7 linked regions of the Macaca mulatta genome follow. The protein of the gene in region 1 interacts with the protein of each later gene in a pairwise test. Links are inferred from orthologs where the notes say so. Each region holds a gene or a part of one and is shown on either strand. Other genes may lie near its edges. The genes, in order: PPFIA1, TXLNA, PTPRF, PTPRD, CCNH, PTPRS and DTNB.

Evidence for each region.
Region 2: the proteins of PPFIA1 (region 1) and TXLNA interact in binary tests that used the Homo sapiens proteins (3 or more experiments, as listed by UniProt). The link is inferred for Macaca mulatta from reciprocal best matches to the Homo sapiens genes PPFIA1 and TXLNA.
Region 3: the proteins of PPFIA1 (region 1) and PTPRF interact in a two-hybrid assay, tested with the Homo sapiens proteins (2 studies listed by BioGRID). The link is inferred for Macaca mulatta from reciprocal best matches to the Homo sapiens genes PPFIA1 and PTPRF.
Region 4: the proteins of PPFIA1 (region 1) and PTPRD interact in a two-hybrid assay, tested with the Homo sapiens proteins (2 studies listed by BioGRID). The link is inferred for Macaca mulatta from reciprocal best matches to the Homo sapiens genes PPFIA1 and PTPRD.
Region 5: the proteins of PPFIA1 (region 1) and CCNH interact in binary tests that used the Homo sapiens proteins (3 or more experiments, as listed by UniProt). The link is inferred for Macaca mulatta from reciprocal best matches to the Homo sapiens genes PPFIA1 and CCNH.
Region 6: the proteins of PPFIA1 (region 1) and PTPRS interact in a two-hybrid assay, tested with the Homo sapiens proteins (2 studies listed by BioGRID). The link is inferred for Macaca mulatta from reciprocal best matches to the Homo sapiens genes PPFIA1 and PTPRS.
Region 7: the proteins of PPFIA1 (region 1) and DTNB interact in binary tests that used the Homo sapiens proteins (3 or more experiments, as listed by UniProt). The link is inferred for Macaca mulatta from reciprocal best matches to the Homo sapiens genes PPFIA1 and DTNB.

What each region holds. Positions count from the first base shown.
Region 1 is NC_133419.1:4,338,351-4,341,850, reverse strand, and holds part of PPFIA1 (liprin-alpha-1), read left to right. Parts: coding exon 1-145; intron 146-3,145; coding exon 3,146-3,292; intron 3,293-3,500. UniProt on the Homo sapiens protein: May regulate the disassembly of focal adhesions. May localize receptor-like tyrosine phosphatases type 2A at specific sites on the plasma membrane, possibly regulating their interaction with the extracellular environment and their association with substrates.
Region 2 is NC_133406.1:208,699,024-208,702,523, reverse strand, and holds part of TXLNA (alpha-taxilin), read left to right. Parts: intron 1-1,922; coding exon 1,923-2,098; intron 2,099-3,500. UniProt on the Homo sapiens protein: May be involved in intracellular vesicle traffic and potentially in calcium-dependent exocytosis in neuroendocrine cells.
Region 3 is NC_133406.1:197,047,432-197,050,653, reverse strand, and holds part of PTPRF (receptor-type tyrosine-protein phosphatase F), read left to right. Parts: intron 1-42; coding exon 43-218; intron 219-940; coding exon 941-1,060; intron 1,061-1,366; coding exon 1,367-1,521; intron 1,522-1,602; coding exon 1,603-1,888; intron 1,889-1,995; coding exon 1,996-2,174; intron 2,175-2,396; coding exon 2,397-2,523; intron 2,524-2,757; coding exon 2,758-2,883; intron 2,884-3,128; coding exon 3,129-3,222. UniProt on the Homo sapiens protein: Possible cell adhesion receptor. It possesses an intrinsic protein tyrosine phosphatase activity (PTPase) and dephosphorylates EPHA2 regulating its activity.
Region 4 is NC_133420.1:90,798,380-90,801,879, forward strand, and holds part of PTPRD (receptor-type tyrosine-protein phosphatase delta), read left to right. Parts: intron 1-2,745; coding exon 2,746-3,015; intron 3,016-3,500.
Region 5 is NC_133411.1:93,783,012-93,786,511, forward strand, and holds part of CCNH (cyclin-H), read right to left. Parts: intron 3,017-3,500; coding exon 2,943-3,016; intron 1,878-2,942; coding exon 1,667-1,877; intron 1-1,666. UniProt on the Homo sapiens protein: Regulates CDK7, the catalytic subunit of the CDK-activating kinase (CAK) enzymatic complex. CAK activates the cyclin-associated kinases CDK1, CDK2, CDK4 and CDK6 by threonine phosphorylation.
Region 6 is NC_133424.1:6,072,868-6,076,367, reverse strand, and holds part of PTPRS (receptor-type tyrosine-protein phosphatase S), read left to right. Parts: coding exon 1-40; intron 41-534; coding exon 535-692; intron 693-1,213; coding exon 1,214-1,225; intron 1,226-1,479; coding exon 1,480-1,592; intron 1,593-3,234; coding exon 3,235-3,282; intron 3,283-3,500. UniProt on the Homo sapiens protein: Cell surface receptor that binds to glycosaminoglycans, including chondroitin sulfate proteoglycans and heparan sulfate proteoglycan.
Region 7 is NC_133418.1:99,619,193-99,622,692, reverse strand, and holds part of DTNB (dystrobrevin beta), read right to left. Parts: intron 2,113-3,500; coding exon 1,953-2,112; intron 1,132-1,952; coding exon 1,042-1,131; intron 905-1,041; coding exon of another isoform or gene 852-904; exon of another isoform or gene 719-851; coding exon of another isoform or gene 561-718; exon of another isoform or gene 122-560; intron 1-121.

The sequences.
Region 1 (3,500 bases):
GTCAAGGGAACAGAGCCAAATGAAAGAACGCCTGGCTTCCCTCTCCAGTCACGTGTCAGAGCTGGAAGAGGATCTGGACACTGCTAGAAAAGATCTCATCAAATCTGAAGAAATGAACACAAAATTGCAACGAGATGTCCGTGAAGTGAGCAATAACAAAAATTACAGGCTTGTCATGAAGTTGAATGTTTGGGAGGTTTTATTTAATGATTTTTTTTCTCCTTTTGTCCCTTGCTCTCCCAATTACTTTCAACCTTTGTATTATTATATAAGTTATATTGAAAAAGAAAGAGTGCTGTGAAACTGCGATAAGATACCTCCCCATTTTTGTTGTGAAATCTCCTGTCCCTGAGCGCTTCAAAATAGAGGAGAACTAGTACCACTGACTGATGTGGCCATGGAGTGGACGCCACACCAGCCCCTCCTACCTGTGCTGCTTTGATATTCTTTAATGTCCTTGTTTGTAGATTCTTCATCTGTGCAATTTCTAGGCTGTCTTAATTTGTTCTTATGTTCAGCAAGCAGACGTTGATCCTGGCTGTGCTAGTTCACGTAGGGCGATGTGACTATAGTCTGTTAACTGTGGGAAGGGGCGTTGCTGGTGGTCTTCTCGTTTTCTGACCTCCTCCTTCAAGGAACTCGTGGCATTGAATATTGATGGTCAGACAAATAATCAAGAGTGGAATTTGCTTCTACGTGGGTCATCAGGATCGTATAGTAAAAATATGTCGCAGTATACTCATTGCTGACAAGTATTTCTGCCATTATCACTATGAGAAACTATTTGATCATGGAACAGTGAGGCTGAGTTCTTTCTCAGGTGCCCTTCCTGTCACTTCCTAACCTGCGCTTTGTCCCTTGTCAGGCGCCTCAACCGTGGAACGTCTGCTTTTCAGTGTGATAGTTTGGCATGAGTAATTTCATGTAGGAATTCGCCACAGGAAGAGCATGTGTGTGTGCTGTGTCACCTGCTAGGTTCTATTCTTTGGCTATAGCGGGAGATTATGTGGCAGAGATTAACATGCTGAGAATTTTGAAATTCTTTTAAGACCTATCACTTTTATTTTTTATTTTTTATTTTAACTTTTAAGTTTGGGGTACATGCTTAGGTCTGTTACGTAGGTAAACTTGTGTCCTGGGGGTTTGTTGTACAGATTATTTCATCATCCAGGTACCAAGCCTAGTACCCATTCGTTATTTTTCCTGATCCTCTTCTTCCTCCTACCCTCCAGTGTGTGTTGTTCCCCTCTGTGCGTCCCTGTGTTCTCATCATTTAGCTCCCACTTATAAGTGAGAACATGAGGTATGTTGTTTTTCTGTTCCTGTGTTTGCTAAAGATAGTGGCCGCCAGCTCCATCCATGTCTCTGCAAAGGACATGATCTCATTCTGTTTTATGGCTTCATAGTATTCCATGTTGTATATGTACCACATTTTCCTGATCCAGTCCACTACTGATGGGCATTTAGGTTGATTCCATGTCTTTGCTATTGTGAATAGTGCTACAGTGAACATACACATACATGTGTCTATATAATAGAACGATTTATATTCCTTTGGGTATATACCCAGTAATGAGATTTCTGGGTTGGTATTTCCATCTTTAGGTCTTTGAGGAATCTCCACACTGCCTTCCACAATGGTTGAACTAATTTACACTCCCACCAACAGTAGGAAAACATTCCTTTCTGTCCACAACCTCACCAGCATCTGTTACTGACTTTTCCATAATAGCCTTTCTGACTGGTGTGAGATCCTGTGTCATTGTGGTTTTGATTTGCATTTCTCTAATCAGTGATGTTGAGCTTTTTTCCCCTATGACTTTTAGTAGTCACTTTTAATAGTTATCACTTCGCTAACCTTGGTCATTTTATAAATAGGGAACAACTTGAAAATAGTGAATTCTGGGGGTGGAGGACAGGTATTTCACAAGCAAAAAGTTCTGGTCCTAGCCTTAAGTGTTTGATACTGTTTAGTAATCATCTTGCAGACTTCAGGTAGTTGCGTCCAATTAAATTGAACTTGTACTTCTGTTTCCATTTGTCAATATGCCTGAATCTTGTAATTGTATGAGATTTCATCTAACCCTTATCCTAGAAAGTGAGACTTGTATCTCACTACTGTATCCATTGAGAGAGGCCACACCCTGTCCTGTGTAAGACCATTTGTAGCGTGAGGCAGACATAGACTGCGTCGTCTTTGAGGTCACTTTCACCTCCTTGAAAAATATTTAGATATTTGAGTGTATATATGTTTATAATATTATGTAGAAATGGGAAAACTTGGTCAACTGAGTGGCTAGACATAGTATTAAGAGAGACAAGTCTTTGTTAATCGTATAGGTGAATATGATATTTGAGGTAGTTACATTTTCATTCACATTTGAGAAAATTGACGTCGTCTTCAATTTAATTTTGAGGACACTATTTTTTTTTTTTTTTGAGACAGAATCTCTCTCTGTTACCCAGGCTGGAGTGCAGTGGTGCCATCATAGCTCACTGCAGCCTTGAACTGCCGGACTCGAGCAATCCTCCTGCCTCAGCCTCCCAAGTACCTGGGACTACAGGGGCATGCCACCATGCGTGGCTAATTTTTGTTTCTTTAAAATTTTTTTGGCCAGGGATGCTGGCTCACGTCTGTAATCCTAACACTTTGGGAGGCCAAAGGAAGGCCAAGGAGGATCTCTTGAGCCCAGAAATTCAAGACCAGCCTGAGCGACATAGTAAGACCTCTATCTCTACAAAAAATTAAAAATTAGTGGATATAGTGGTATGCGCTTGTAGTCCCAGCTACTGGGAAGATTGAGGTGGAAGGATCCCTTGAGCCTGGGAAGTCAAGGCTGTGGTGAGCCCTGATTGCACCACAGCATTCCAGCCTAGGTGATAGAGGGAGACTGTGTCTCAAAAAATAAAATACAATATTTTTGTAGAGACAAGGTCTTGAACTCCTGGCCTCAAGCCATCCTCCCATCTTAGCGTCCCAATGTACTGTGATTATAGGAGTGAGCTGCTGTATCTGGCCTGAAGATGCTAATTTTTAATTTGATTGGAAATTTGGGATTTAGTTCAGTTTTTTTCTCTCTTAAGTATCTTAATGTGTAATCTGTTAATTACGTGCTTTTTTGTCCCCTCTGAAATACTAATTTAGGCCATGGCCCAAAAGGAAGACATGGAAGAGAGAATCACTACTCTTGAAAAACGCTACCTCGCTGCACAGCGTGAAGCCACATCTGTGCATGACCTCAATGATAAACTTGAAAATGAAATTGCAAATAAAGATTCTATGCATCGACAGGTAATGGATTTTATCGATCTTTGTCTGGCTTCAGTTAATTATTAATGAAATTAAAGACCCTTTTTCTCTCACTTTCATGTTGGAAATCAAGTCCAAATGTCAAGTTTTTATGACCTTAGAATATTATGTTCAAGATATGTGGGAGTTCCTTCAGTTTACAGGTTTTGATAACGTAGGATTTGATTTAACCATTTTGTCCTCAATTTTT
Region 2 (3,500 bases), on another chromosome or scaffold:
AGGCTCCCTGACTCAGGCACAGGCAATGGGGAACGGGCAGTGACAGTTATTTTACAGCAGGGTATGTATGTTTGAGAGTCTAGGCCGGGCGCCGTGGCTCACGCCTGTAATTGCAGCACTTGGGGAGGCCGAGGCGGATGGATCACCTGAGGGTCAGGAGATCGAGAACAGCCTGGCCAACATGATGAAACCCTGTCTCTACTAAAAATACAAAAATTAGCTGGGCATGGTGGCACACGCCTGTAATCCCAGCTACTTGGGAGGCTGAGGCAGGAGAATGGCTTGAACTCCGGAGGCAGAGGTTACAGTGAGCCAAGATCGTGCCACTACACTCCAGCCTGGGCAACAAGAGTGAAACTCCGTCTCAAAAAAAAAAAAAAGAATCTAGAGTCTAACTCGGGTGTCATTATGTCCATGTTTTATTCCTATTTCCCTCTCCCCTTTTGTATCATCCTACTTTAAAGAAGAACTTTAAAAAATCTTATGGCCGGGCATGGTGGCTCATGCCTGTAATCCCAGCACTTTGGGAGGCTGAGGCGGGTGGATCATGAGGTCAGGAGTTCGAGACCATCCTGGCTTACACGGTGAAACCTCGTCTCTACTAAAAATACAAAAAAGTAGCCGAGCGTGGTGGCGGGCACCTGTAGTCCCAGCTACTCGGGAGGCTGAGGCAGGAGAATGGCGTGAACCCGGGAGGTGGAGTTTGTAGTGACACAAGATCGCACCACTGCATACCAGCCTGGGTGACAGAGCGAGGCTCTCTCAAAAAAAAAAAAAAATCTTAGGGACGGCTAGGCACAGTGGCTCACACCTGTAACCCCAGCACTTTGGGAGGCCAAGGCGGGCAGATCATGAGGTCAGGAGTTCGAGACCAGCCTGGCCAACATGGTGAAACCCCATTTCTACTAAAGATAAAAAAAACTAGCTGGGCATGGTGGCATGTGCCTGTAATCCCAGCTACTCAGGAGGCTGAGGCAGGAGAATCACTTGAACTCAGGAGGCAGAGGTTGCAGTGAGCTGAGATCATGCCATTGCACTCCAGCCTGGGTGACAGGGTGAGACTCCGTCTCAAAAAAAAAAAAAGAAAAAATCTTAGGGTCACATATATGGAAAGTATCTTCATTTTTTTTTTTTTTTAGTTCATTTATTTTTTTAGAGGGGGGTCTCGCTCTGTCACCAAGCTGGAGTGCGGTGGCACGATCTCCGCCTCCCTGCAACCTCTGCCTGCCAGGTTCAAGTGATTCTCCTACCTCAGTTTCCTGAGTAACTGGGACTACAGGCACCCCCTACCACGCCTTGCTAATTTTTTTGTGTGTATTTTTAGTAGAGACGGGGTTTCATCATGTTAGCATGGTCTCGATCTCTTGACCTCATGATCCACCTCGGCCTCCCAAAATGCTGGGATTACAGGCGTGAGCCACCGCACCTGGCCGAAAGTATCTTCATTTTAAAGTTCACTGTTTGGCTACTCTGTTGACAAGAGTTTAGTATTTCTCAAGGAGGCTAAGACATCTGTTCCTTTTTGGATCCTACCTCTATCAGGAGGGTGAGCCTTCCTTGCATTGAAACTGTATGAAACAGTAGCCCTGAATTCATAAGTGGGAAATCTTTCGTCTGTTGGTAGAGCAGGCAGTTTTTTTACCCTGCCAGTGGTGTCCACTAAGGAGATTTCAGTAGGGTACAGTCGTTCATTTGATAAGCATTTGTTGAACATATTCTCTGTGATGGTACTATGGACGATACTGGGGCTACAGTGAGGGCAGGATTGAGTTGGTCCCTATATTAAGGAAGGAGCTAATTAACGAGCAAAATATAAAGTGTGATGGGGAGGGCTATCTTCAGCACTCATGATGAGTGTGAGCCCAGGCCTGGAGGGGACCCCTGGAGAAGGGAGTACATGTCTTTGCTCCTGTGCTTTGCAGGGAAGGAGATCACGTTGCTGATGCAGACATTGAATACTCTGAGTACCCCAGAGGAGAAGCTGGCCGCTCTGTGCAAGAAGTATGCTGAACTGGTCAGTTCCCCCCTCCGCGGGCACCTTCCCTGCCTTGGGAAAATCAGCATGCCACCTGGTATAGGGTTGGGGGTGCAGAGGCAGGTAGGTGGCTTAATTTCTGTTCAGCTTTCTCTGAAATATCTGTTAAATGGGGAATCACTCTCAGCGAGCCTCTTCAGGGCTGTGCAGCAAGAGTTTGAGAAACTGCATATTCCTTGAAAGAAATTTCTCAAAGAATGATTCCAAGGTGGTAGAGCCCTTGTTCCTGGCCTGAGTCCAAGACACCTTGTGATCTTGATGCATCTTCCTCAAATACAGATGCATAGAGCCATTATCACAGTAAATAAAACTAATGCTAGTCACTTGATACTTTTTCCTTTTACTTCAGAGCAGTCTTCTTGTCACTGCCTCCTCATATTCCCCATGACATTGACTTTTTACAGAAACCAGACTGGCTGTCCTGTAGGATGCCCCCTTCTAGCTTTGTCATCTGTGGTAGCATTTTACTTCTTTACCTCCTAGTGCCTGTAAGTGAAGTAGAAGTTAGCTCTAAAGCTTGATCCAATTCAGCTTCAAGTTTTTGACAAGAATTCTTCATAAGTAGTACTCTGTACTTCATGTTCCATCGCAATAAATGCAAAGCATACTCTTCCCACTCTGTTGTAACATTGTTCAGTGGGTTGAGGGTGGGGCAGCCAGATTCTTCCATCATCAGGTCCCCTGTCAGAATTTGAACTAACAGATTTATCTATTGATGGTCACAGCCTAAGTATGTATGTATGTATGTATGTATTTATTTTGAGATGGAGTCTCACTCTGTTGCCCAGGCTGGAGTGCAGTGGCACGATCTCGGCTCACTACAAGCTCCACCTCCCGGGTTCACGCCATTCTCCTGCCTCAGCCTCCGAAGTAACTGGGACTGCAAGCACCCGCCACCATGCCCAGCTATTTTTTTTTTTTTTTTTTTTTTTAGTAGAGACAGGCTTTCACCGTGTTAGCCAGGATGGTCTCAATCTCCTGACCTCGTGATCTGCCTGCCTCGGCCTCCCAAAGTGCTGGGATTACAGGCGTGAGCCACCGCACCCAGCCTATTTATTTATTTATTTAGAGATGGAGTCTTGCTCTGTCACCAGGCTAGAGTGCAGTGGCATGGTCTTGACTCACTGCAACCTCCACCTCCCAGGTTCAAGCGGTTCTCCTGCTGCAGCCTCCCGAGTAGCTGGAATTACAGGCGCACGCCACCACGCCTGGCTAAATTTTGTATATTTCAGTAGAGACAGGGTTGACCATGTTGGCCAGGATGGTCTCAATCTCTTGACCTCGTGATCTGCCCGTCTCGGCCTCCCAAAGTGCTGGGATACAGGCGTGAGCTACTGCGCCCAGCCTCTTAAGTATTTATGTTAAAATTAATTCATTCCACACACATTTATTAATATTTTCCTGTAGGGAACTTTACTCATCTGTAAAATGGGGAATGTCATACCTGCCTAATGACATTCTTGTA
Region 3 (3,222 bases), on another chromosome or scaffold:
GACCCTGCAGTAATGCCTTCCCACCTTCTTTCTTATCCGCAGGTGTCCCCGGGAGTGACTACATCAATGCCAACTACATCGATGGCTACCGCAAGCAGAATGCCTACATTGCCACACAGGGCCCCCTGCCCGAGACCATGGGCGATTTCTGGAGAATGGTGTGGGAACAGCGCACAGCCACTGTGGTCATGATGACACGGCTGGAGGAGAAGTCCCGGGTGAGGCTGCAGGGCCCTGCCAGGAGGCGGGCGGGAAATGCCCGGCCACAAGGTGATACAGGGCACCTTCTTCAGTGCCGCGTTCTTCTGTGGAGGAAGTCGCTCAAGGGATCCCCAGATGCTATTATGTTTCTGGGGGTATTATGCTCCGCAGATACTGGGGTGTTTCTGGGATAAAGCGTGTTCCCCAGATGCTCGTGGGTTCCTTAGGATGCTAATATGTTTCACCAAATGCTGTCATTTTCTGAGAATATTAATGTGTTCCCCAGTTGCTGGCATGCTCCCGGGGTGTTCACATGTTCCCCAGATGCTGGAGTGTTCCTGGGGCATTAACACATCTCCTAAGTTAATTAATGGAAAGAGCCGCTGTTATCTGTTTTTGGACTGCAAAGCATTGACTGGAACGTAAAATTTACAGAGCTTGAAAATGGCACATAAATGTTATGGATAAATTTGGCAGAAAATGTGCCTGGTGCGATCTGGCCTTGAATAAATAATTTTCAATTATGGCCCTTATTCCACTAGCTAGGGCAGTGTGGTGACATAGCTTGAGGACCTGATGTGACTTGTGGAGGACAGGGGGCAATGGGTCTGAGAGCTCAGGGCTGGGGGGCCTTTGTAGCCAGAAAGGCTACAGCCAGGGAGCAGACCAGCCTCCACCCTGCTTCTGCCCATCTGAGCCTGTGGGCTTCCTTCAGCCTGCCCTGCTCATCCCCCTGCAGGTAAAATGTGATCAGTACTGGCCCGCCCGTGGCACCGAAACCTATGGCCTTATTCAGGTGACCCTGTTGGACACAGTGGAGCTGGCCACATATACTGTGCGCACCTTCGCACTCCACAAGGTATAGCCCTTCCCCAGTGCTTCTCTCTTACCCAGACACCATAAGGACAGTAGCCTGGCGTAGATGTGGTGTGCCGGGTTGGGGGAAAACCGGAACCTGGGTGTTGGAGGGTTAGAGGCTCAGGTGTGTGAGTGTGGTGTGATGATCCATGTTACAGGAACAGTGCTAGGAGCTCCTTCAGGCTACTCTCTGTGACTTCTGAGTCCCATCAGAGAGTGGCGGGTCTGGCCTCAGCAACAGGTCATTCTGCCCTGAGTCTGGCAGGCAGGCTCCTAGTTGCCAATATGTCCCCACTTTGTCCCCCAGAGTGGCTCCAGTGAGAAGCGTGAGCTGCGTCAGTTCCAGTTCATGGCCTGGCCAGACCATGGAGTTCCTGAGTACCCAACTCCCATCCTGGCCTTCCTGCGACGGGTCAAGGCCTGCAACCCCCTAGACGCAGGGCCCATGGTGGTGCACTGCAGGTGAGAGGGTACAGTGCCACCCAGAGGGGTGGGGTGGGAGGTGGGGGCACCTGTGCCTCAAACTGAGCCTGTGTCCTGCAGTGCGGGTGTGGGCCGCACCGGCTGCTTCATCGTGATTGATGCCATGCTGGAGCGGATGAAGCACGAGAAGACGGTGGACATCTATGGCCACGTGACCTGCATGCGATCACAGAGGAACTACATGGTGCAGACGGAGGACCAGTATGTGTTCATCCACGAGGCACTGCTGGAGGCTGCCACGTGCGGCCACACAGAGGTGCCTGCCCGAAACCTCTATGCCCACATCCAGAAGCTGGGCCAAGTGCCTCCAGGGGAGAGTGTGACCGCCATGGAGCTTGAGTTCAAGGTGGGGCTCGGTGGGGGCCTGCTTGGCTCCAGGGCCTAGACTGGGACATGCGGATGACCCGCACTCCCACAGGAAGCCTGGCCTGACCAACCCCTCTCTCTTAATAGTTGCTGGCCAGCTCCAAGGCCCACACGTCCCGCTTCATCAGCGCCAACCTGCCCTGCAACAAGTTCAAGAACCGGCTGGTGAACATCATGCCCTATGAATTGACGCGTGTGTGTCTGCAGCCCATCCGTGGCGTGGAGGGCTCTGACTACATCAATGCCAGCTTCCTGGATGGTTATAGGTCAGCGTGCTTGTCACTGCCCCACCATGCCCTACAGGGGCCTAGGCCTGTGACTGGCTGGTGGGGGTGGGCAGCCTAGAAGACCAGAGAGGGCTGGGTAGAGCAGTGAGGACTTCCTGGAGGAGGGATGATCAGAGCAGGGCCCCAAGGGGCTAGGCAGCCTAAGGGGAGACTCTGGGGGCAGCAGCACCTCCAGCATGTCCAGTCTTATGTCCACCCCAGACAGCAGAAGGCCTACATAGCTACACAGGGGCCTCTGGCAGAGAGCACCGAGGACTTCTGGCGCATGCTATGGGAGCACAATTCCACCATCATCGTCATGCTGACCAAGCTTCGGGAGATGGGAAGGGTGAGCCCACCCTTTTCCCCAGGGCCCCTGTCATACCTGGGAGAACACCAGCCACCCTTGGGGGAGCTGCCGCCTATGTTACTGTCTCCTTTCACACCCCAGCTGCTGCGTCAGCATAGCCTCAGGCCCCCGTTATTATCCACCTGAGGCATCTGTCCCAGAATCCTGTGAAGCCTGGCACCCCTCCTCCATTCCTTCTCACCTGATCATGGGGGCCCGGCCCTCTGTCCACAGGAAAAATGCCACCAGTACTGGCCAGCAGAGCGCTCTGCTCGCTACCAGTACTTTGTTGTTGACCCGATGGCTGAGTACAACATGCCCCAGTATATCCTGCGTGAGTTCAAGGTCACGGATGCCCGGGTGAGTGAGTGCGCTGAACGTCCGTAACGCTGCCTATCCACATGTGGGGCGGGTGGCTGCCGTAGCTCAAGCTTCAGGAATCTGAGGCAGGGGGTGGGTATTAGGGTGTGAGCACATCTCCCCCAGTGGCCTTGGGTGCAGTGACACAGAAGCATGCCTGTGTCATGGTACTACCCCGGTCTGGTCCAGAGGGGTGGCAGCCTAAGGCACAAATCCTAATCATGTCCCCCACCCACCTTTCCCAGGATGGGCAGTCAAGGACAATCCGGCAGTTCCAGTTCACAGACTGGCCAGAGCAGGGCGTGCCCAAGACAGGCGAGGGCTTCATTGACTTCATCG
Region 4 (3,500 bases), on another chromosome or scaffold:
GAAATGTTTAGTGTTTTGATTGCCATGGAAAACTGTATTTTAAATAGTAACGTGAGTTGTCCTTGAGACAAGAATGAATTATAAGGATACATTCATATGTTCTCATGAAGTAATAAAAATGATTAAATTTTGAGCTTATGAATGGCTATGCCTTTCCACTCAACTAGAATGAAGTACTTCCGCTTCCCGAGAGTTCTTAAAGCCAGTTCCTGTAGTTATTTTTGTCTAGTGGAAGTGTTCTTATTCTTGGTCTACATATCTGTGAATAACCACGAAGGCATGGGTGGGGGTGGGATTAAATTAAAGACTGAGAGGGCTTTAAGTTACAATAGGATGGGTTCCCTTAAGAAAATACCTAGCTTGATTTTGAAATTTTTGTTAGAGGTAATTTTGTTTCCCTGGGGATGTTTTTCTCTCCTTTCTTTTTATGGAGTCTGGGGTGGGGAAATATGAAGAAAGCCGTTTCTTCTCTAAATTCTTTGAAAGTCCCTTGATCCTTTTTCCACAATAGTGACCTCCCTTGCTGCATGAGGCATGTGTACCTTCTTCCATGGAAAATTTCAAAATGATGCTAGCTATTGTTTCTAATACCATGGTAGTCTGTGAGATATTGCTAACTTTTCCAGCTGAGGTAGAAAGGATGAACTAGAGCGAATAAAGATGTTCAAGTAGCAGTTGAAAGCCTTGATATGGCCTTTTTACTCTCTCTGTGTTTCCCTTGTTTTTCTCCTTTCCTCATTTCATTGTGTTCTGCATCAAACCCCCTACATCCCTCAGAGCTGCGAGAAGGTTGGTGTGTTTTTTACTTTTTACCCACCTTACAAAACTATTAATTAAACCAATAACAAAGAATACAAATGAAATGAATGTAGCTGCATTGTGTTCTTCTTTTGGTTAATGGTATGTTTTAGCAGAGAATGCCCTGGCCATGGCTTCTGGTGCTTGCTGGTGATATCTAACTGTGGTGCATGATGGGAGAGAATGTACCTGGGTGCATGGTAACTGGTAACACTTAACTCTCTAAAGTCCAGTTAACTTGGTCAGTGTTCCTGCTTTCCTTCCTGCTCCACTCTCCCCGTGTCCCACCCCGCCTTTAATTTCTGTCTTATAAGGATGCCTGCTGCCCATAGAATGACTTTTTCTAGTTTCTCCCCTAATCCCAAGCATGAAGACTAAACTCTCCTCCATTTTTCTTGATATGTTCTTTGATACCTCAGAGTCTACACTGGCTCCTGCTTGCTTTGTGTAACTTCTGTGAATTGACTGCAGGAGGCATGCTTAGCTTTCTCTTCTTCTCCCATGACTGTCATTCACCCATGAGGCCATTGCAGTGAGCCATCTCAAATCAGCGGAGGTTTATCTTGACTTAAGTGCAGCCAAAAAGTTTTCAGACAGAATTACTTATCTTCTTCTTGGGGTTATGAGGTTATTTATCAGTTTATTTATAATTTTTAAAATCACTTTATTAAATGTATTTAAGGTGTGCTCCTAAAGATTACCCTCTAGAGCTCAAATTCTTATGGTATGACGTTTTGCCAGTAAAAGCCCCAGATGAAACCAATTTCTCTCTCACCTTCTCCTTGTATCACATCCAAAACACATTTACTTAAACACACACAAACCTGCAAATTATCTGAAGCAGGAACACTGAACTTTAATTGCTTGGTAATTTTTCTGTGTTATGTTGCTTTAATATGATCTCTTCTCTTAATGTCATGTCCTGCTGTATGTTTTCCCAATGTCTCTCAATTTGAATGTGGGCATAAAAAGCCTTTTAAAAGATTTTGTTGTCATTTATGTTGTTTTACCTTAGATATGAATTGAATGGAATCCTGTATGTGAAACACCCATCTCTTTTTCTGAATTTGAAATCTTTACCTTTAACAACTTGAGCCTAATCTATCTTTCAACCCTATCATCCCCTACATCTCTGTATTTCAATCATTATACTTTACCTCCCCCTTTCGTGTTTATTTCTATTGCCCCGTTACTACTTCTGCTGTCATTGCTGTCTTGGATTCCAGCCATTCTTTCAATATCCTTAGCACGGGCCTTGAGATTCCATCTTGTGCATGCCTTGCATGACCCAATCCAGTATCTCTACTGGTGTTAGCCTGTTTCTTCTTCTGTGACTGCAAATCAATATGTATATACATTTCTGTGTTTGTTCCAGTGTTAGTGTGAGGTCTTGAGGCTGCATCCACTATGAATCTGAAAACATAAAGTGCACTTTCAGTGTACTGTAGGTGATGTTTTCCAGGGCTGGGATGTGACAGTGTGGTCCCACACCTACATTCACATCAACTGGAAGTGCACAGCACTGAAGTTGGTTTTGATAGTCAACTTAAACATGCTGGTGACCTTCCAGCTCCCTTTTCTGCATATACATGCCTGCATAGAATCATTGTTATATGCCTGCATGTATATGTTTTTGTGTTTATCTTATGCATGATGTTTGTGTATTGTTAGTTTGTAGATAGTTTTTTGTGGGGCCCTTGTAGGTCTGAATCAACTTTTGTATGAGTGTGTCTAAGATATCAATGACTAAACTAAATAATTCTGTGTATACACACACCATACTTGTATGGTCTGTATTATCCACAGTTTTTCTTTATGTTTTGTTTTTGGACAATCCACAATATGTTTCAATTGTTGAATCGTGTCTGTACGGTGCATGTCATGTGTTTAATAATCCACTTTTTCTTGCCTTGTATATGTTATCATTTCCCTTGTGTTTTGTTCCAGTTCGCCGTGTCCCACCAAGATTCTCTATCCCACCCACTAATCATGAAATCATGCCAGGTGGAAGCGTTAATATCACCTGTGTGGCCGTGGGGTCACCAATGCCTTATGTAAAGTGGATGTTGGGGGCAGAAGATCTGACACCTGAAGATGATATGCCAATAGGAAGAAATGTGCTAGAACTGAATGATGTAAGACAGTCAGCAAATTACACCTGTGTTGCTATGTCGACACTGGGTGTCATTGAAGCAATAGCACAGATCACTGTCAAAGGTATGCTCAATGGATCATGCTTTGAGGATCTGGGTACGCTTAAGCCAAGTGATTAATGCCTCTAGGAAGCCCATCCTTGAAAATCGAAAATAATTCATTATTCAGAGTTTTAAATGTGTGTATAACCTAATCATATCTGTGGTATTATATAAGATGCATAAGCTTAGATAGGCGGATTTTTTCTTGGAAGTATCTGGCAGCCTATGTGGAGATAATCATCAAAATATTAAAAGACAGTTCATGGAGGCCCAGGCACTAACCAGACAGAACTAGGAATTTTAGACATGGTCAACCATTATGGTGGGACTGATGTGTACAGTCTACATACTAGAACAGAACCTTGATAAGAACCCCAAGAAAAGTCAATATGAGCATTAATAAATGCTTAAAATTTCTAAATACAAAGGAAAAAGAAGAAAAAAGTTGAAATCAACATAGTCTAATAATAGATGATTTAACTTTTTGGCAGGCCCTACTGTTAGAAA
Region 5 (3,500 bases), on another chromosome or scaffold:
TTGTATTTCATCTTTCTCTCACTACTAGCTCTTTGCATCAGTATTTAAATGTGCATCGGTCTCTTCCATAAAACAAAAAACAAAAAAAAGTATCACCCAGTCAGAAACTTGGGGGTTCTTCCTCTGTCCTCATCTCTATATACAATCAATCCTCATGTTCTATTGATTCTACCTAACTACAGGCTGAGCATAAATCCAAAAAATTCAAAATCCGAAATACTCCGAAATCTGAAACTTTCTGAGCACTGACATGACACTCAGGAAATTCTCACTGGAGCATTTCAGATTTTGGATTTGGGATGCTCAACCAGTAATCACAATGCAAATATTGCAAAATCGGGAAAAAAAAAAAAAAAAAAAGTGAAATCTCAAATACTTTTGGCCCAAAATTTTTTAGATAAGGGATACTTATCCTATATCTCTGAAGCCCAGGAAGCTCTTTCTGTATCCACAACCTTCATACGAGTGAAGACCACCACCATCCTTAGCTTGGACTCCTTTAACAGTACCCCGTTATTCACTTAATCTATTCTAATCCATTCTCCACGTTATGCCTGACATATACAGATGCACAGTAAATACCTGATCCATAAGGTTGCCAACATGATCTTTTAAAATTGCAAATCTAATCATGCCACTCTCTAAATTTAAACCTTTCACTGGTTTCTCTTTGCTCTATTCAAAATCCGTAACATTGTCTCTACAGTCTAGACTCTGCCTTCCACTCTGGCAGCAGCTGTCTGTGATCTCTTCCCCCTGCATTGCTAGGCTCTGTTCAGGTTGTTTAGCACAGAATGGTTTCTTGAATTTGACCTTTTTACCAGGGAAGTCTCTGATTGGAATGTTCTTCTCTCTCCTATTCCTACTCTGAATTGTACTTTAAATGATACGTTCTCAGAATGTTTTCCTTAGCTCTTAATCTGTTATCCATTGTGCTCAATAATACAGAGGGGAAAATATATTTTAGAGGGAGATATATATTCTAAAACCTTTAGATTGCAAGGTTCACAAAAGTTGAGACTGTTCCTGTCCTGTTTCTGGTTACATCCTCAAGCACAAAGTTTGGCACACAGAAGATACCCAAATTGAGCCACTGATCTAATATGAATGAACCAGTTCCTGATTTCTGTTTGATTCAACTTTGACTATCCAACTTCTCTTTTAGAGCCAAACAAAACAACTTAAAAGTTACTTCTGTCAATGTTTGTTTACTTATATTATTGATGCCTACATAGAGACTCAAGTTCACAAACCTCTAAAAATATAAGTCACTTAGCAATCTTCTAGTTTAAGAATTTTTTATGGTTTAAATCAGGCCCAGATCCATGACAATATAATTCAAAGTTAGAAGAGGTATCTTAAGCCTCCATAATAAGCACCGTTCTAAACTCTCAATGGTCTTCATTACATCCCTGGACGTAATGAAGATCACTTAAATGAGAAACTCCATAAGTCCCACCCAACCATCTGAGTTAACAATTTCTCCAGATGACTGATGATGCCCACTGAAGTTTAAACACAACTGCCCTAGATGACCAGGCCAGACCCACAGGTCGTATCCATGCTCTAACAATGAGGATGACTATGAGTTTTAAAATTTTGGATTCTTTTTGTTAAAGAATAGGAAAGGAGAATGTAGTATTAGTTTATTTTATATCAAATTTACCTTTAAGTCGATGAGGAAGCCCTCAAATGGTCTGTAAGGATTGTGGACAATAAGGTGGAAATTAAGTTGCTGTATAAGAAGTAGTTCATATTCCAGTATCTGTTCAAGTGCCTTCTCCTGTCCAAGAGGACTCTCCCGAAGGTTTCCAACAAACTGAGGACTAGATACATTGAATTCATCTACTTTGCAGGCCAAAAATGCACAAGTGAGCCTAGAGGAAAAAATGAAGCGGCAGGGGGCGGGGTTGGGGTGGGGCAGAAGAACATGCATATACTTTGAGAAGTATCTAAATATTTTATTTCTAAAAGTATATTCTATAATTGCCTAATATTCAAAAGTGACTGCTAGACATTGCAAGAATTTTTTTTTTTAAAGATAGTTCCTGTTCACACTTCATTAAGAGACATAAGACAAACTATAAATAGGTCAAACCAATATTGCCATGGCATTCAAACATCACTGACTCAATGACAGTGTTATGTAGTACAACCTAAATATCTGGAAAAACAAATTAACTGAGGAATAAGAGCACTTTGTATAACGTAGATGGAATAGTTAAAAATAAAGCACATATGTACCATATAAGTATGGGAAGAAAAGTAGGTTAAAGGAACATTGTGGAAGGCCATCGGTGGAAGTCTCTAAGGGCATCTGAATAAGAGACTATTATTTAAGGGACAAATGTGTGAAATTCACCTGGCCAATTCATGCTGTTCAGTATGAGAAAACAGTAAGAAAGCTACTGCAAAAATCAAGGTTGGCAGTGAGATCAAGGGCCTAATCTTGACTGGTGGAAATGGGAATCAAAAAGAGAAAACAGGTACAATGTCATTGAGAGCAAGCTCTTTGATGAGTCTCATACTAATTTCATCTTTAATGATAGACGCAGTGCTCAGCAGAGAGCAGCAACAACAGACCTTTGTTCAACTGAAATGAGTAGGAAGCTATAGGATCCGTAAACTGACTAGATGTGGGAGGGGCCACTACAAATGATTCTCAGTCTGAACAACTGGAAGAACAAAGGTGTCAAATAGAGATGTTAGAGAAGTAGCTAATTTGAGAAAAACAAAATTTGAATCTGGACAAGTTGAAGTTCAGATGCCATCAGAATTACCGAAGTACAGGTAAATAGAGATCTTAAGTTCTGAATTAAAAAAAAAAAAAAAAAAAACAGAATTCAAGTCTAAATTACCCTCAACTCTCTCCTCCCCAAAAAACTCAAAAGAGTATAAAGGTCTTCTTAAATGAAAACAATATATTAGACAGACATACTCACATTATTATCCTGGGGTGATATTCCATTACTGAGTTATTAAGATAAAAACGTTTGAAATACATACAAGCTGTACCCTAAGGGTTAAAAAAAAAATATATCATCAGGATCTATTCACAAATGTTAAATGTTAAATTGTGTGAAACAGAACTTATTTATGGAAAGGTTTCTTTGTAGAGATTACCCAGAAAAATACTAATACTCATTAATTCTTCTTTAATCAAAATAAATTGTGATGAATTACTACAGAAATGCCATAGCCAAAAGATCCTTTCCCATCCTTTGCTTGTCTATCCCTAGCCTACCCTGGCTAATCCTTCCTATGGTCACTGGATTTAAAAATACGTGAGTGTGTATGTTTTAGAAGTCAGAGTATCAAAAATGTCCTGAATTAGATAAATTCAGGAAGAAAAATACAAATGTTCACAGATTAACCAATCTTATAAAAATAATGAGCAAGGCAATAAGCCTTCTCTCTAAAGCCACTACATATTTGTGACATTGTTTTGTATCCATTCCCATGATTTGTGATCACTGCTGCCAACTGAATGGCAGAAGCAG
Region 6 (3,500 bases), on another chromosome or scaffold:
TGTCCTCTTTGTGCTTGCTGTGCTTCAGAAGAGCGAGCCTGTAAGTCCTGAATGGTGTCTGCCAGACACACCTCTGAATGAGGCAGACCCCATTTCCCAGGGCCTTGACCTCAAAACCAGAGGCAGATCCTCTGTGGTCAGTCACAGGCAGCTCTCTGTGGCCAGGGCTGGGCAGTGGGGAAGACTTGGGAGTGGAGGGATCCTGAAACGAAGGTTTCTTAAGAGGAAGAGACCTTCCAAGGTCTGGGGCGTTGCGGGGTGAGTAGGAGTTCAAAAAGAGAAAGCATCCCAGGATTTGCATGTGCAAAGATCTAGGAGGTACAGAAAGGATTTCAGAGTGGCTGGAGCAGAGAAGGGAACGGGGAGAGCAAAGACTGGCAGGGACCAGGTCATATGGGCCACGAGGGTCAAGGTTCTAGGAATATAGGAGGATCTAAAGCAGGGGAGAAACATGGGTTTGTGTTTGAGAAAGACCCATCTGGCCACTGCAAGGACGGTGGACACTGATGGAGACCCCCCCCCCTTTCCCTGCAGACCTTTGCAGCCAGTCCCTTCTCAGACCCCTTCCAGCTGGATAACCCGGACCCCCAGCCCATCGTGGATGGCGAGGAGGGGCTTATCTGGGTGATTGGGCCTGTGCTGGCCGTGGTCTTCATAATCTGCATTGTCATTGCTATCCTGCTCTACAAGAAGTAAGCCGCATGTCCTCCCTGACTTGACAGCAGAGAGGGCTTCCTGGAAAAGGAGGGAGGACTTGTCTCAGAGAATCATCACTAAGGGTCTCTGTTGTACACATGGGGAAATCGAAATTCAGAGAGGTTAAGCCACTTGATCAAGGTCACACAGCATGGGAATGGCAGAGCTAGGGCTCAAAGCAGGCCAGTGGCTTGGCTTCTCCTGTTAACCCCTATCTTCACCTCCGCAAGATGATTTGGGGTAGAGGCTGCCTGCGTCCAAGTTCAATGAGGATAGCAGTTGTAGTGGCCCCATGGGGCATGTCCCAGCTTAGAAAGGGAGGGCTGAGATAAGCCTCCTTGTGGTATCAATAGGCAGGGGGACAAACAAGAAAGAGGAACGCCATTTTCCAGAGGAGACCAAAGCTCAGGGAGGTTAAGGAAGCCACTGAGAGTCACAGAACAAGTCCTTTGTGGCCAACACACCCTCACCTTTCTTTTTTTCCCCCCTTCTCACCTGTGTCTGCTTTCGGGAACAGCAAACCTGACAGGTAAGAACCAGCCCTGCCCCCTGGAGGCTTCAGGCAAGAGGAAGAGGACAGGGAATGGGTTGATACTGTGCCCACGGGAGAGGGGATGTCTGGCTGCCCCCACAGCTTGTACATGTATCTGTACTTGGTCCTGGAAACCCCAGTCATATGGGTATACAGTCCTTTTCCGACCATACATTCCTGGGGCCTGAATTGTATTCACACATGAACATGTCCCAGTACTAACTGGACTGTTCTGCTTGCTTCTCCTAAAGTAAACGCAAGGACTCAGAACCTCGCACCAAATGCCTCCTGAACAATGCTGACCTCGCCCCTCACCACCCCAAGGACCCTGTAGAAATGAGACGCATTAACTTCCAGACTCCAGGTATGTACTTATCCCTGGTACCAGGGATACCGCCAACAGGGGAGATAGCTGGTGAGAAGCAGTAGCTGCCACCTTGGGGGACCCTCATTGGCCCCCTCTGAACTACGCTTGGTGCAGCCACATTCTTGATTCCCAAATACCTCCCACCCTACGTGGATCCGGGCTTGGAACTCATAGGTTGGTTCTGCTTACAACCAAGTGAGACTTTTTAAGTTAACATTTAACTGATGGCTGCTCTCCTCTTCAGGAGCCTAAAGATGATGTTTAAAAATAAAAAACGGAGAAAACACAAAACTACCCCTCATTTCTTTGGGCAGAAAGAGCTGTTCTTCTGTTTATCTCTCTAGTTTTAATGTTCCTCAGTGGTGAGAGTTAAGGTTTGCCTTCAGCCATTTTCCACACTCCCTTGGGATATATCCCTAGCAAGGTACAGAAATTATACCTGCCCCACGCCTTGTACCTCTTCCCACCATGGCTGCTGGGGCTCATGCCTCTTTACAGTTCCCTATAAAGTCACCTGCCAGTCAAGGAGAACTGAATCAAGGTTTTATCCTTGATCATTTCCGTGTATGATTTACAAACTCCACCATCAACCCCTTCTTCATGGGCTCATGCCAGCTGCTTCTAACCAAGTAAGAAATTTTTCATTTTACTGATGGCTGCTATTCTCCTTACGGGTTCACAGCCTGGTTACATCTGTCCTTCCAACTGTACCGGTCTCCACTTCCTATCTCTGAACTGGTTCATATCAACTCTATTTTCCAACCAAACGGAGATTTTAAACATTTGTATTTAACTGATGTCTTTAGTCCTCCTTAAAGCCTCATGCACAGCCTCACATGCCATTCTTGATATACTTTCTTCTTTTTGCCTCTGGACTGGCTTGTGTCACTTCTGTTTTCATCCAAATGAGGAGTTTGACCATTCGTATTTAACTGATGACTGCCGTCCTCATAAAGGGATCATGCAGGGCCTCATGTATCACCCCTCGTGTATTCTCTTCCCTTTCTTACCTCTGTACTGATTCATGTTGCTTTGGTTTTTCAGCCAAATGAGGATTTTAAATGTGCATGTAACTGATGGCTGCAAGTCTCCTAAAGGGATCATGAAGAGTTTCATAATTCACTGCCAATGTGTTCCCGTTTCATTTCTGTCTCTGGACTAGCTTATGTCTGTTCTGTTTCCATCCAAATAAGGATTTTCAACATGTGCATTTAACTGATGGCTGCTGTCCTCCTTGAAGCTCATGGCATGGGCCCATATGTCCTTTCCCTGCTCCCCCAGCTTCTCCTTCACCATCCTGCATCCTCCTTCCTCAGAATGCCCTCTGCTGACCTCAACAGAGGGGACCCAAGGCCAGGCTGGTCTGGGGGAGGGGATTTGTAGACAGAAGAACCTAGCACTTTGGAGTCCTTCCAGAGTGACGGGTCAAGACCAGGACTGACTGGCGTCCAGCCAGAGGGGTACACAGTTAGCAGCTATCGTGAGTCCACAGGTGGGGGCCCAGGTGGCTATGCGTCCCCCACGTTGTCCGCATTGCTCTGCCCTTTGCATCCGCCAGCCAGTGAGGGGTGGGGGAGGCAGAGGTGGAACCCCCCAACCCCCTGCATGTTTTCATTTATTTATTGTTTGCTGTTTGCAGATTCAGGCCTCAGGAGCCCCCTCAGGGAGCCGGGGTTTCACTTTGAAAGTTAGTTTCTGCGTCTGTTTTTGGCTTCCTTTCGCCCCCCTGTTCGTTTCCTCTTTGGTTTCTCCATCCTGCCTCCTGTCTCTGTCCACGCGCCCACCCACCGCCGGCCCTTGCCCACCTGTCCTGTGCTGGCTCCTGGAAGAGGGCAGGGGGTTGGTCCACTGGGCCCTTAGGTGGCTGTGTGTTACTGCTGTGTGTGTGGTGTGTATGTGTGTGTC
Region 7 (3,500 bases), on another chromosome or scaffold:
AGCAGAGCTGGGGGCTCTGTCCAGTCCCATGACAACCCGAAACATGTGAGCTTTCTCCTACGAAGGGCTGAAAAATACCCAAGGCTTGCCTTCCCTAAGAGTGTTTGAATAAATCTATGTGTTTGAATGGCCCGTGGAAAAACTGCTTTATCTTTTTATTTAATAGCCCTGTTAAGCTACTTCAAGGTATTTAAAAGCACTACATTAGGTGGAAAGAAACAAAAGAGAACCATCAGTGTGAGTGACCTACAGCACTTAGGAAGGGAAACCATTAGTTTAACAGAAAACACGGAAACCCCACTGCTGTGAAATCGTTAGTGACTCTCTGGCCCCTAAGTAACTGGCAGAGTCATGGGGATTCCTGGAGATAGGATGATATGTGAATGGCCTTTAATTTTCTCTCTCTTTCCTGGGTTTTATGTAAGGTAAAGGTCTTTGGGAAGTCACTGATGTGGCGAGGTGATGGAGAGACTGAGAAAGAAGTCACAGATGAGCTGAGCACGAGGAGTGGAAGAGGCGACAGACTCAGGTCATGAACTTCAGGTGAAATCAGAGCCTGGTCATGGACAAAAGGAGGGAATAGGCTTCAAAACCAAATCAAACAGGAGAGAGCAGAAAGGCAGCAGGGGAAGGTCCAGAGCTTTCCTGGCTGATTCGGCTCCAGACTTCCAGGGAAGCTTCAGAATGAGGCGGTCGGTCAGGCCTAGGGAGAGAGCGGCTGTGGACAAAGCACAGATAGAAGACGGGGTAAGTAGGAAGGGGGCCTGCCTGCACTGAAAGGTCTGAATTTCTCCAAGTTCAGCTTGCTCCACAAGATGCACTCCTGAGATAGCCTGAATGTGAAACCGCCCCTATGCAATCCTGTGTGACAGAGGCTCTCTGGGCGGAGACATCCAATGTGTTCCTAGAAGGCAAAGTTGGGTGGTGAAATGGGGTGGTGCGAGCTGGGTGGTGAGGTTCTGCCAGAGCTGGCGAGGAAGTGAGAAGGGCGTGGGCGAGGCAGGGGAGGCCGGGAAGCCAGGTGGGAGCTCTGGGTTTCACCTGAATGGAGCTCCTTCACCAGGGATGACATGGTGTTGGTGATGGAGTCAGCTGCCACCAGCAGGTCATTGCGGAGGTTTCTCCTCGTACCTGAGGAGAGGCAGAGCAGATGGGGATGCCAGTGGGGGTGAGCATGGAGAAGAGACGGCTGAGCAAACGCCTCTATTCTGCCAGGCCGGAGGACACAGGTGTGGAATACCTAAGGGGAGATGGGGCTGCAGCAGCTCCACCCACTCCCAGCCACACTGGGGGCAGGAGGCACCAGCCCACTGGTCCCTCTCCCTCTGCCCTCTCTACCTAGGGAGCAGCATCCTGTCAATTCCACGCTTTGCCATCACCACACAATCCAGAGCTGGGTTCCAGAATAAGCATTCCACCGAGGTCTTCCTCAGCCTTGTGGGGGCGGGGCTCTACTCTCCACAACCACCACCACCACCTCCCCTTCTCACCTCCAGCCCCAGCAGGACTTCCCTCTGAATCCCCACCCAACTACTTAATACTGCTGGTCACCAGCTCCTCCGATGACTGTGGCAATGGCGTGCACACTATGCTGTCAGCACGGTCCCAGTTACAGTGCCTGTTACAGTCCCTTCTAGGCCAGGGAATTATTCCATCCAATTCCTCTGGAGGAGACGAAGCTCAAAGGACAAAGCACTTCCCATAATCCAGAAAAAAGGGCAGAGAACCCCAGGAGGCCCATTCTTGGCACACATCGGAAGCCTGCAGCTCTCCTGCTGGAGACCAGCCAGTCTCATGAGAAGGGGCCAGCACCTGACTTATTTACACTGTCTGTCAAAATCTGATCATTCAAGCCAAGAGCACAAAAGAGAAATGGAAAAACCTCAGCAGGAATCTTGTCCATGTTTGCAGATCCCTTCAGCTCCCTGCTGAACTCTGCTCCAGAAACTCACCTTGTGCAAAGGCCTCCTGCACGTCTCCCCCAACTCCGCTCAGTGAGTCCTGCGGACAGTGGGTGGGGGTGGAGCCGGCAGACGTGGAGCGCACTGGCATGGGCATCGGCCGGCCGCCTCCATGGGTGGGCGATGTATGTGGTGACCCTGTGGCCTGAGCCTGGAGATTCAAAGAGAGAAAATATGTTATCTCAAGTACCTGACCTCTTTGAGGAAGAAAGAAAGTACTTTTTCTCCGTCAACCGGGCCTCAGTTCAGTGGTACAAGATCATACTTGAAAGGAAGGAGTCAGGCTGCTTCCAAGACTGGAGAGAGGAAGAAAAGGAAAAAAGGAAGGGGTCGTGCAGGGCAGGAAGAAAGAACATCATAAGAAGAGACCAAGAATGGGAGGGAAAGAAGAGGCTGGCACAGAGTGGTGGAGGACTCTCAGGAAGACAGGGTGAGCATATAGCTGGGCCAGGGCTCTAGAAGGGCTTGGCTAGCGGGGCAGGAAGTAACATGCAAACAGCTTTCATTTTGTTTGCAAACACATTCATGCACACGTTCTCATTTGGACCACCCCACCCACCCCCGGCAACCTGTGAGTGGAAAGGACATACGTGTGTGTGTGTGTGTGTGTATGTATATATTTATATATGTATATGCTTCTTTTTTGGAGACAGAGTCTTGCTTTGTTGCCCAGGTGGAGTGCAGTGGTGCAATCTCAGCTCACTGTAACCTCCGCCTCCCAGGTTCAAGAGATTCTCCTGCTTCAGCCTCCCGAGTAGCTGGGACTACAAGCGTGCACCACCATGCTGGGCTAATTTTTTGTATTTTTAGTAGACACTGAGTTTCAACATGTTGCCCAGGTTGGTCTTTAACTCCTGAGTTCAGGCAATCTGCTTGCCTTGGCCTCCCAAAGTGCTAGGATTACAGGTGTGAGCCACCACACCTAGCCAGGGTGTATATTTTTATATCCATTTTATAGAAGGAAAAGCAAGCATTGTGTCAGGCAACACAGCTTGCCAGTGGGAGGCACGGGAAGAACCCCTTGACTCCAAGAGTGGCAGTGTGCACTCTGCAGGGTGCGCCCCCACTCCCCCAGGGCATGCTCTGAGCATGTGGGGAGCTTGGCTGCAGGCTGCAAGCGGGGCCATCGGGCCAGTCACGCCACACGCACTGCACACACACAGCGAGGCTGTCTGGGGCCATCCCGCAGGGACGAGGTGAAAAGGACACGTAGTAAACAGAAACTGAGCTTTCCTTGGGAGGCCCTGGTACAGTTGTGGAGAAAGTTTGGAGCAATGGGATAAAATAAATAAAAGGAGAAAACGAATCAAGGGCTGCTCACTGAGATGTGGGCTCTGGAGCTCTTCAGCACAACATGAACTGAGTGTGACAGGTGGACTAGGGTTTTCTGTGGAAGCAAAACTGGAAAAAATATAAGCCAAAGTGTGAGAGTGAGTTCAAATGAAGATAGTTATCCTTCTGGGGAGCTAGCTCAGAAACCCCACATACAAACAGAATTGGCCCTGAACAGGTGGACAGGCTGGACACACCATACCCTAC